2 linked regions of the Caenorhabditis elegans genome follow. The protein of the gene in region 2 purifies or fractionates together with the protein of the main gene of each other region. This does not show direct contact. Each region holds a gene or a part of one and is shown on either strand. Other genes may lie near its edges. The genes, in order: C15F1.2 and T28B8.4.

Evidence for each region.
Region 1: the proteins of T28B8.4 (region 2) and C15F1.2 fractionate together in Caenorhabditis elegans (co-fractionation; one large-scale study listed by BioGRID). This does not show direct contact.

The regions. Positions count from the first base shown.
Region 1 is NC_003280.10:6,977,823-6,983,095, forward strand, and holds the start of C15F1.2 (uncharacterized protein), read left to right. Parts: upstream 1-2,130; 5' UTR 2,131-2,183; coding exon 2,184-2,243; intron 2,244-2,391; coding exon 2,392-2,574; intron 2,575-2,629; coding exon 2,630-2,710; intron 2,711-2,864; coding exon 2,865-3,013; intron 3,014-5,273.
Region 2 is NC_003279.8:8,158,826-8,163,766, reverse strand, and holds the start of T28B8.4 (Proteasome activator complex subunit 4), read right to left. Parts: upstream 3,300-4,941; 5' UTR 3,256-3,299; coding exon 3,247-3,255; intron 3,241-3,246; exon of another isoform or gene 3,163-3,240; intron 3,128-3,162; coding exon 3,012-3,127; intron 2,913-3,011; coding exon 2,381-2,912; intron 2,188-2,380; coding exon 2,078-2,187; intron 1,994-2,077; coding exon 1,808-1,993; intron 1,762-1,807; coding exon 1,503-1,761; intron 1,246-1,502; coding exon 1,178-1,245; intron 1,125-1,177; coding exon 479-1,124; intron 433-478; coding exon 267-432; intron 1-266. Other genes in the region: T28B8.3 (DUF3437 domain-containing protein), read right to left, coding at 4,035-4,166, 4,226-4,477, 4,529-4,675, 4,792-4,941.

The sequences.
Region 1 (5,273 bases), on a different chromosome or scaffold from region 2:
TTCAAAATCTGTAAAATGTATTTATTTGTTAGTTTTAATGAGAAAAAAACGGTGAAAATTGAGGAAAAACTGAAGAAAACAAGCGGAAAACAATGCAATATGAATTGCCGCTGAAACTTGTCGGAGACTCGGCCATGGCCTAGAAACCTTTTTGTCTCGTCCCTCGTTCGAAAAAAGTCGCAGTGCAAAGTTCGATGAGAGGAGTTGATTGAATAATTTTCTTCATATCTTCAATCCATCGAAAATTGATCTAGACTTTCATTTCCGGAATAGGAAACTCGATGAGTCGCGATTGGAAATATTGAAGGAATGCCTAGAAGGCCTAAGAATCTCAGAAATCACGATTGAATTAGATAATCAAATGCAGAATACGATTACTATCATCAATGTTGTGTGTGTGTGTGTGTTGTTGATTGCCTTATTCTGGAAGGAGAAATATATCTGCCATTGAGCTCCGCACAATTATTAGCTCAACGTCGAATTCTGCCCCGGAATTTCAGAGAACTCAAATTACTTATCGGAATTCCATTGAATGATCTGTTGCTTACAAGTTGCTCATCCCTTCACACATACAATTCACTTTCAACTGATAAGGATATAAATTTGTTTCTAAGACATTGGACGGCCGGTCTGAAACCAGAACTTGAATTTCTTACAATTTTAAATATACATGCGAGAATAAAATTAAGCATACTTTTTTCGGTGGCATCGACATTCACTTTTCTCAAGGAATGAATGCAACCATGATTTTTGTAGATGATGCTGACTGGGCAGTAATTTATGTTGCAGTTCATGGTTCAAGATATATTTCTTTTGAATAACTGTTTTTTTATTCAAATAAATCAATTTCCTGTGACTTTGTTAAACCACTCTTTTGGGTAGATGCACATCGATATTTATATGATTTTATTTGAAAACGAATTAGTTGAAATTTTGTTAAAGCTAAACAACTTCTCCGCGATTGAAGACTGCCACAATAAAAATGAAATCATTTTCAACCCAGTTCGGGAAATATGACTAAAAACCGTCCTAATTGCAATATGTGAACTGTATAAATTCATATTGACTTCTCCTTCTTCCCCCATTTTCCTTCTGCCAGTTTTTTGAATATCCGTTCATTTCGAAATTGGTGTCAATTCGCATCCGCATCAAATTGGAGCGGGCGATAACGACGGCTCGTAAATAAGCGTATGTAATATTCGCTCGTATTAAACAGTTTTTTCGGTTCTCGTCATCCTTACCTTTCAATTGTATGTCTCGTGTCGTCTCGGATGGATAAGCTGTTTTCTCATCTCTCTCTCTCTCTTTTTTTTGTTAAAGAGGTCGACACATTGGTATCTTCTCGGAATGAAAAAATCCCCAGGAGGGTCATTTTCTCTTCTCTCTCTCCATTTTTGTCGGGTATTAAGCAAATCGACCTTCACCCACAAAAATGAACAGTTGGGTGCATTATCCGGTCCGAAACGAAGCGAAACCATCTTATCGCTATTTTTTCTTCTTTTTTATTTTTGGTTGTATGACTTTCATATTAACCATGTTATTGGAAACTGTGTATACCAAAAAAGCTTTAGTTTTGGTTTTATATAAGTTTATATATATGTATACATTGTTTTTTATAACTGCTCAATCTCAACTATGACAATGTACATCTTGTTTAAAAAAAATGGTTTTATCAAAAAGTGTTGCTTGTCAGAAACATAAGTAGAATTCTATTTTTTTAAACAGTTGTGCAAAATTCCGAGTTCCAAATTCCAAATTCCGCGCAAAACGTACATTTAAGGGCAAGTTTTTTTTTGTTTTCTTTCTCGAACATTTTTCTGGTAGACTTTTCACTTCCATTAATAATTTTTCAATTTGGCAAATTCGAAGATTGGCAAAGAGCTAATTGTCGCCTATTATAAAATTGAAAATTGTCTACGACCTTCACGCACCTACATCCTCCCCCATTTCTCACTTTCACACGCTTCGATTATTCCGATTCATGTTCCGATCCATTGAGACCCAATTGATATAAATCAAAGTGAGAGCAATACTTTCATTCTCGATGACATTTTCTCACTTTTCACAGTTTTTCCTACAAGAAACCTTTTCACTTTTGTTCCTTTCTCTACTCCCAATCTTTTCTTTCAGTGGCCCTATAATCCTTTCGCAGACATCCAGAGTCTTCAGTCAATCGTTTCTAAATGCGGATTTTTCTTTTCTTTCTTCTAGTTTTGTTTCAATCGATTTTTGCACAATATGAGGTGAGATATGTTTATATATATTTATATATTTTCGAAAATATTTTACGATCAGTCTAATTAATTTTCCAATAGAGTATTATTGACTTTTAAATGCTAAATCTTTTGATTTAGTTTCATAAATCAATTCCTCATTCCCTTAAAATTTCAGTCACCAGATCCATCATCTCCTGCTCCATCATCAAATTATTGTGCTGCTTTCGTAGAATGTGCAGCAGTATCCCTTCTTGAAGAACGTCTTTGTTTAGGAAATTCTCTATGGAGACCTTATTGGCTTCCAGAAAGAAGGGATACTTATGACTGCCATCATAAACTTAAAAATGATTATAATACTGTAAGTTACTGGAACTTTTAAATCTAGGGTCATCTGAACTTCTCAATAATTTCAGTTGGAACGGTTAGAAGAAGAGCTTGACGGTCAGCTGATTGCATGTTTAAACGAAAATGTTCAACCACTTGACAAGAAAACGGTGAGAAAACGGGAAAAAGGGGTGGAAGGGAAGAAAGCGGAGACAATGACCCTAATCGACTTGATCTACAGATATTAAGATTGGGAAGAAAAAGTCTCGGGATTGTCTATGACTCATTAAAAAGGAATTATGGGATAATAAACTAAAGTTTCAGAATGAGCAATGTCAAATTCTGGGTCGTCCTGCAAGATTCTCTTTCAGTAGAACTATCACGTATGTTCCAAATCATTGTTTCACTGGAGTGAAACGAAGAATTGAAAGACAATGTGGAGAAGTAGCAAAGTGTTGTCCGAGTATTGAAAAGTAAGTTATTTATTTGAAGATTTATTTAAGATTTACACACGGCTTATTCAAAGTCTACTTTGCACGCAAAATGCAGATAAATGAGCAGCGTCATCCATATCTTTGAATCATTCCTTTATTTTGAAAGTTAAGCAAAAGTTGATTACAGAATGTTTACTTATATTTTAGAAAACTGAAAACCCGGTATTTATGAATATCCTATGTTCATTTCTGATAATTTATTTTTTGAAAAGAGCTGAAATTGAAGCATGAACCTTATTTTTATTCTCACGTGAATAAAACCGTATTCTTTGTCTAAAAACTGTTGAAAACTAGTTGCTTTTAAGCAAATAATAAATGTCACGTGATAATGAAAATTAGATTCATCTTTTAATTTCAGGTCATTTAAAACAAAAATTCATGGAAAATGAACATGAAATTCGTAAATAACGTGTTTTCAGCATTCTAAAAACATATTTTTCGACCCCAATATCCCAATTTCATTTTTTGGTCATTTTCCGAAAGGCAAACATCCGATTTCATTTTTCGGAGCGGAGGACGATTTTGGAGATTAACAGGATTTTTTGAAAGATTTTTTAGGACTTTGTAGAGACCTCAAAAAAGTGATCATTTTCCCAAATTTCAAGTCGATACGTTGGATATGAAGAGTTTTATGAGCGAAATTGGATTTTTTCGAAGAACGGTCTGTAACTTGGCTGAACATGAAAATATGAAAAAACTTATAATTGAGAAAATTTGGAGAAATATTTTTCACTTACTATCCATTAAAATTTTCCTTCTGAAATTTAATGAATGCAGGGTTATGACTGGTACGGCAGAACAGTTTTCAAAATTTTGTGCGATTTTTGGTAAAATGGCTTTGACTCTGTGTAACTCAGCAAATAATTGTCACTTTGCAATGAAAAATAATGCAAAAGGAAGACAAAATATTTGGCAAACACTCTTTGACTACCTTTGCTCTTTGACTACCTTTTGCTCTTTGACTACCTTAGATCTTTGACTACCTTTCGGCTCTTTGACTACCTTTTGCTCTTTGACTATCTTAGATCTTTGAATACCTTTCGGATCTTTGACTACCTTTTGCTCATTGACTACCCTTCGGCTCATTGACTACCTTTGCTCATTGACTACCTTTACCTAATTTTTCAGAATTCTCAGTTTTTTTTCGCTGAAAAATCAGATTTGTCAATAACATTTTACTTTTTGATGTCTAAGAAGGTCGTGCTCTTTCTCATTTCCTAAAATTCCGGAAAAAAATGGAGATGAGATCTGATGTATAAATGCTCTTTGACTACCTCTATCTAATAAAATTTTCCAAAATTTATTTTTTTGAAAACTTTTCAAAATTTGATCAGATATTATAGAAAAGTGCAATTTTTGTCGTTTTTCTAGTTTGGATGTTCTGCACACTATTGCAGACGAAAACCTGAGGCATAGTAGAACCCCTAAGCTCAAAAAACGCACTCACTTCGGATGCTGATATCTCCGTGGAAAAAAAATTTATGGCAAAGTGATTAACTACAAAGTTATATATCTTAATCTAAAGTACAACTTTGTAGTTGATTGTTTTTTATCAAAAAATTTGTTGGTCGAGATAAAGTTGTGTAAAGTTTGGCACCTTCATGCTTGTATTTTCTTCTTCTTTTTCTGTTCATATCTCATCCAACCAATTTTTTGATAAAAAACGATCAACTGCAAAATTGTACTTTATGTTAAGATAAACAACTTTGTAGTTGATCACTTTGTCATAAAACATTATTACACGGAGATATCAGCATCCGAAGTGAGTGCGTTTTTTGAATTCTGAGGTTCTACTATACCTCAGGTTTTAGTCTGAATTCGTGTTCAGAACATCTAAACTAGATAAAAAACAAACATTGCATTTTTCTATAACATCTGATCAAATTTTGAAAAGTTTTCAAAAAAAGTTTTCAAAAAAAAATTTAGAAAATTTTTCTAAGGGGTACCCTTTGGATTTTTTTTCATAAATCGAAAAAAAAACATTGAAACCTAAAAAAACCAAATGTTTTTGACACTATCGCCAACAACATTTCAGTTGGACACATTTTATTGCAAAATCTCATTGCCAACTATCCTATGCTGAAACCTTTGAAATATGCTTATGCTGACGTTTTGAATATGCGTATGCTGACAAGAGCTCTCAAGAGAATTTCGTGATCCAAAAAACACATTGAAAGCTTATATCAGGACACTTACCGATGTAAAAGAAAACCGAACCTATCCAGATTTGAACCAGCAA
Region 2 (4,941 bases):
TTTCTTGAGTTTTATAGTTTGATAAAAAATACTTTCAAAAAATTTGCTTGAAAGCTTGAAAAGCTTGATCGAAGAAGGGGTGCTTGAAACTGGATGCTTGAAAATCGGAAATCGTGTTGGATTTACACATAACGAAAAAACAAATTTTGCAAAATACACAGCAAATCGTGCGTATAAAAAGCCAAAGCTGCGAGGTTCATTATGAACACCTCGCAAATTAACTGTGTATGCAAAATATAAAGTTGTTTCTTGTTAAAAATGTAAACCTGTTAGAAGAAGTTTCAACTTTTTCAGAATGAATTCAGCATAGCGTCGGAATTCTTTTCCACATGTCCAAACGGCACTGCTTATCAACATTGATAGAGTCTCTGTTGCCAGATAGCTTGTGAATTCAGATGTAGAAATATAAACCAAAAGTCGGTCGAATAGACGCTAAAAATATACAGAGTTTCACAAAGAAAACATTTTTATAATCTACCTTTCTCATCTTATCATCAACTCGATCAAAGACAACTCGAACCAAACTGCTGATTCCACCTGTCAAAGCCATCTCATCATCGCCATGCTTCTGATATTCCAATGATAAACTAACTCCGCCAGTTGAATCGGAAGTGTTGGGTGCTTCGACTGACAAGCAAGTGATCACTTCGAGAAGCTTCTCAAGAGTATGCTCAACAAGAGATGGTACACGTTTTGATAGAAGGCATATCAATCGATCGTCATTCGACATTTTTTCTTCATGAAATTTAATAGCTGCTGAGAAATCCATTAATGGAAAAGATGAGAACAAGATTTCCAAAGTCTTGAGCACAAATTTTGTTCGATCCACATCATTTACATTGATCTGATTCACAAAAATCTCCAAAATGTAAAATGCATGAGCACGGAGACTTGTGAATTTATGGGTTTTAACCATCGGAACTTCGCTACCAAGATGAAAAGTTGGCCATGATTTTCGCTCTTCTTCCATATAAATCAACCATTTTGAGTCATAGACTATATTACGTGGAGTACGGTACTCTGCATCTGGTGTACGAATAATCTCATAAACAAAAAAAGTGAATGCTTCAATAAGAGTTGTCAATCGATGAGGTTCACTAACTGCGGTGAGGGAGGAATAAAGACTGAAATAATATACTTACTGGACATGTTTCAAATAGAGTACCGTTATACTTACTGATTGAGTAACTTTGGAGCCACGTATTCGCGATTAACAGTTGTTAGAAGTTTGATCAGCTTATAATCCTGGAAAATAAATCGATCGATAGAATAATCAAACTACAAACAAAGAGCATGTTCTGTGCTTGTGCAGTACATTCTGATTTTCAGTTATGATGAGGCAGACATAAATGCATAACCCTTTTAAATTTGGGATTTCTTAGGTACGTCCATTAGGAGCCTATTTTTGCAAAATTTTTACAAGCCCGGATTTTCTACAGTTTCAAACATTTCAAATTGTTGATCTTATTTCAGAGTGAATGCCTGAAAATCAAAAGACTCACATTTTGGTCGTTAAACATGAGCATAATGGCAAGATCTGTAACCGACTCGGTGATTTCATCAATATCAGAGTCTTTCAAATAATACTCCTTTGAACAATTTCTTTTCTTCCAACTCAAGCGCTCCGTATTCAATCGTTCTTTAATAGATGACATGAAGTATACAAGAAAACAGCTAATTTGATTCGTGTGATCGCCAAAGTTCAGTGGATGAACGTTAAATGAAATATATCGCATTAGACGTTGGAAATGAGCGAGTGACCTAAATGTTTTTAAACTTGAAACTTTTAATAGCAGACAAATCTTACGAGTTCGGACCACCAATCGTATATGCACATAGAGCTGCCAAATGAGCAGAAGAGCCGTTCTCTTGTCCATCACCAACCTCCAATTTTCCTTCTCGTACAGTCAAGTTGAGACCACGAATCATTTTTGTGTACAGCACATCGTAGTAAGGACTCAAATCGAATGCTCCCGGTGCGGACATGCTCATTCTGAACATAAAGACATGAAAGACACTACAGAGGTTAAAAAATGATTGATAGAAAAGTGCAACGTTTCATAATCTGATAACTCACTCAAGAATATAATCAAGACAGTAAGCAGTCCATGATGTATTCATTTCAGCTTTCAGATACATTTCCCATAATTCCTTGATCCACGTGTTTACCGCATACTTTTTGATATCCTGAAAAGTTGACATATTTTGTGACTCTTTTTTAAAGTGAAATGGAAAATTCTATTCGATAATTCGCAATTTTCGTATAATGCCTTTTTAAGCACAATGAAACGAGCGGCACGAAAACAACCATATTGGACTATCTATGCTCCGCCCATAAATTCGTTTAAAGTTCTATTATATTTTTCGCCCGCAAACTCACCTCTTCTGTCATTCCACAAGTCGAGAGAAACATCCAACAGAATCCAATGAACATTTCGGTCTGAGCCTGATTTCCAATTGAAATTTCTTGTATAAGCTTTTCCCATATTGCTTGATGTTCTGATGGATCATAGAACATGGCAAAATAATTGATTGATTGATTACAATAAAGAGCTATATCCGGCTTAATCTTATTATGAACTACTTGATTGTAAAGTTGATAAAGTGGACACCAATTCAATGTAAGGTCCCTCCATCCAAACGTTCCTGGTTTCACAAGATTCATCATTTCAACAAATGCACCACAAGCACTTCTAATCATATCGTGATGTTGATGTTCTTTAATCAATACTTCGTAAAATAATCGAACGAGATTCAGAAATTTTTCTCTAGACATTCGAAGTCCAAACTGTCGAATGTGAGTTTGGAACATTTCTCTGTATTGTTCAATTTCAATCGTATTCTCAGTCAAAAATCCAGCCATCATGCCATTGACAATGTCATCGAAGTTTGTGTCAACTTCTGATTCAAGTCTGAAAATAGTTTTCTTGAATTATTTGGTTACAAAGCAACTAAAACACGTTGACAATACCCCTGTGACGCGTATCAGTTCGTCGACAAATTCAACTTACTCTTCAAAATATGGCAAGAAAATTGACTGCTTCGATGGTCTCACATAATCTTTCGCCATCAATTTTTTCAAATTATCTCCAGCATTCACAGAGACCGGCTCTGGATTGTCTCTAACCTGAAATGTTCAACAAAAGATTGTAAAAGATTAAAAAAACATATATATATATATATATATATATATATATATATATATATATATATATATATATATATATATATATATAATTTACTCACCTTTACCATTGCCCGAAAACAGTGCAATAAAACCGCGGATAAATTGTTGAAATATTGAAAAATGACTAATATTTATTTTTACAGAAAAAGCACGTCAGAGTTTAATGAAAAGGAAAAGGTCAAAAATAACATACCGTATTTCCTCTATTAATAAGGCATGCAAAACTAATTTCCGGACACCTAATTTGATGCAAAACTAATGGAGGTGCAAAACTAATAGAGGGTGCAAAACTAATTTTCGAACAGGTTTTTTCTCATGTTTTCCCTTAAATTATGACATAATATCATCAATTTCAATAACAACTTATGAACCAAAATGGACGAATTTTACGACTGATAGGCAACAATTGTCCGAGTTGTTCTCATATTTTGCCAATTTTGACTAGTTATACCAAGTCTGTAAGAGTTTTCCTAATTATTAGAACGATTTTATAATGCAAATTTTGAATTCCTAAAATTAGGGAACAAATGAAGGGTTGCAAAACTATTAGAGGTGCAAAACTAAAAGAGAGTACAAAACTAAATTTCGATGAGTGATTTTAGATGCAAAACTAATGGAAGTGCAAAACTAATAGAGGTGCCTAACTAATAGAGGAAATACGGTATGAGGTTCAATGTCACGTTGGTAATATTTATGTTCAAGGTGTCGGCATTTTGGCGTTTGATGGTTTTGGGTCGGGCGGCGGTGTTTATTGTTGTTGTTGCTTTGTGCCATTATTCAATTTCTCAAAAATAATTCATTTTTTCAATAAAATCGAGATCATACGGTCGTTACATCATTTCTATTCTCATGCATAATACGCCGGGGCAGTTGTGTTTTCAATGTCAAACGTCAGTGCGTCTCCCAATATTTTTTTTGTTTCCTCCCAATCATCACGGTGTTGACGGCGGAACTCTCGCACTGTTTCCGTCATCGTTTTCTGAAAGTACTTTGTTATGTAAGTTCAGAAAATTCAAGGTTTTTAGTGAACTCTCTCACTTTCACAACTGCTTGATTTGAACTCGACGAGCTCAGAAGACTCAATGGCTTTATGATGTTAGTTGGCAGGAAAAATGGGAAGGCCAGTACAAATGCTCCAAGAGCTAATGATGCACCATGAGCACGTGCTTCTAGTTCCGTTTCTGATTGAAGAATATTCGCGAGTTTATCAATTTTTTGATCCGAAAATTGAATATATGAGCAATGAATAAATAGTAGAAGACATTTCGCAGCCTCCTTTCGAACCGAGATCTAAAATAGTAAATCATTGAACTCTTTGCATTTTTCAAACGTTTTTCTCACCTCGCGATCATAAACTGCACGGAACAGAAGTTTTTCAATATCATCTCGTCTTGATTGTTGGCTCATCGGGAAAATATTCGAGTAGACAGCTGCTTGAACAAACTTGATGACAGCCAGTCTAACATGCCACGAATTCGAGTGAAATGTCTGAAAAACATGTTACAATTTAAAATCGGAATTTTCCCGAAATATTTTAATTTAATCCTGAACAATACAGAGACTACGAGTTGCACAAATTGCGTCCCAACTGTAACAAAACGTACCGTTCCCAATGCTTTCAAGATTTCATCCAAAAACATATGACTAATCCAAGAAACTGACATGTAGTCATGAATAATCAGGGCAGAGTTCTGAGTAATATCCACGTCACGATATGTTTCTTCTGACAGATCATAGTCATCTTCATTGGCATA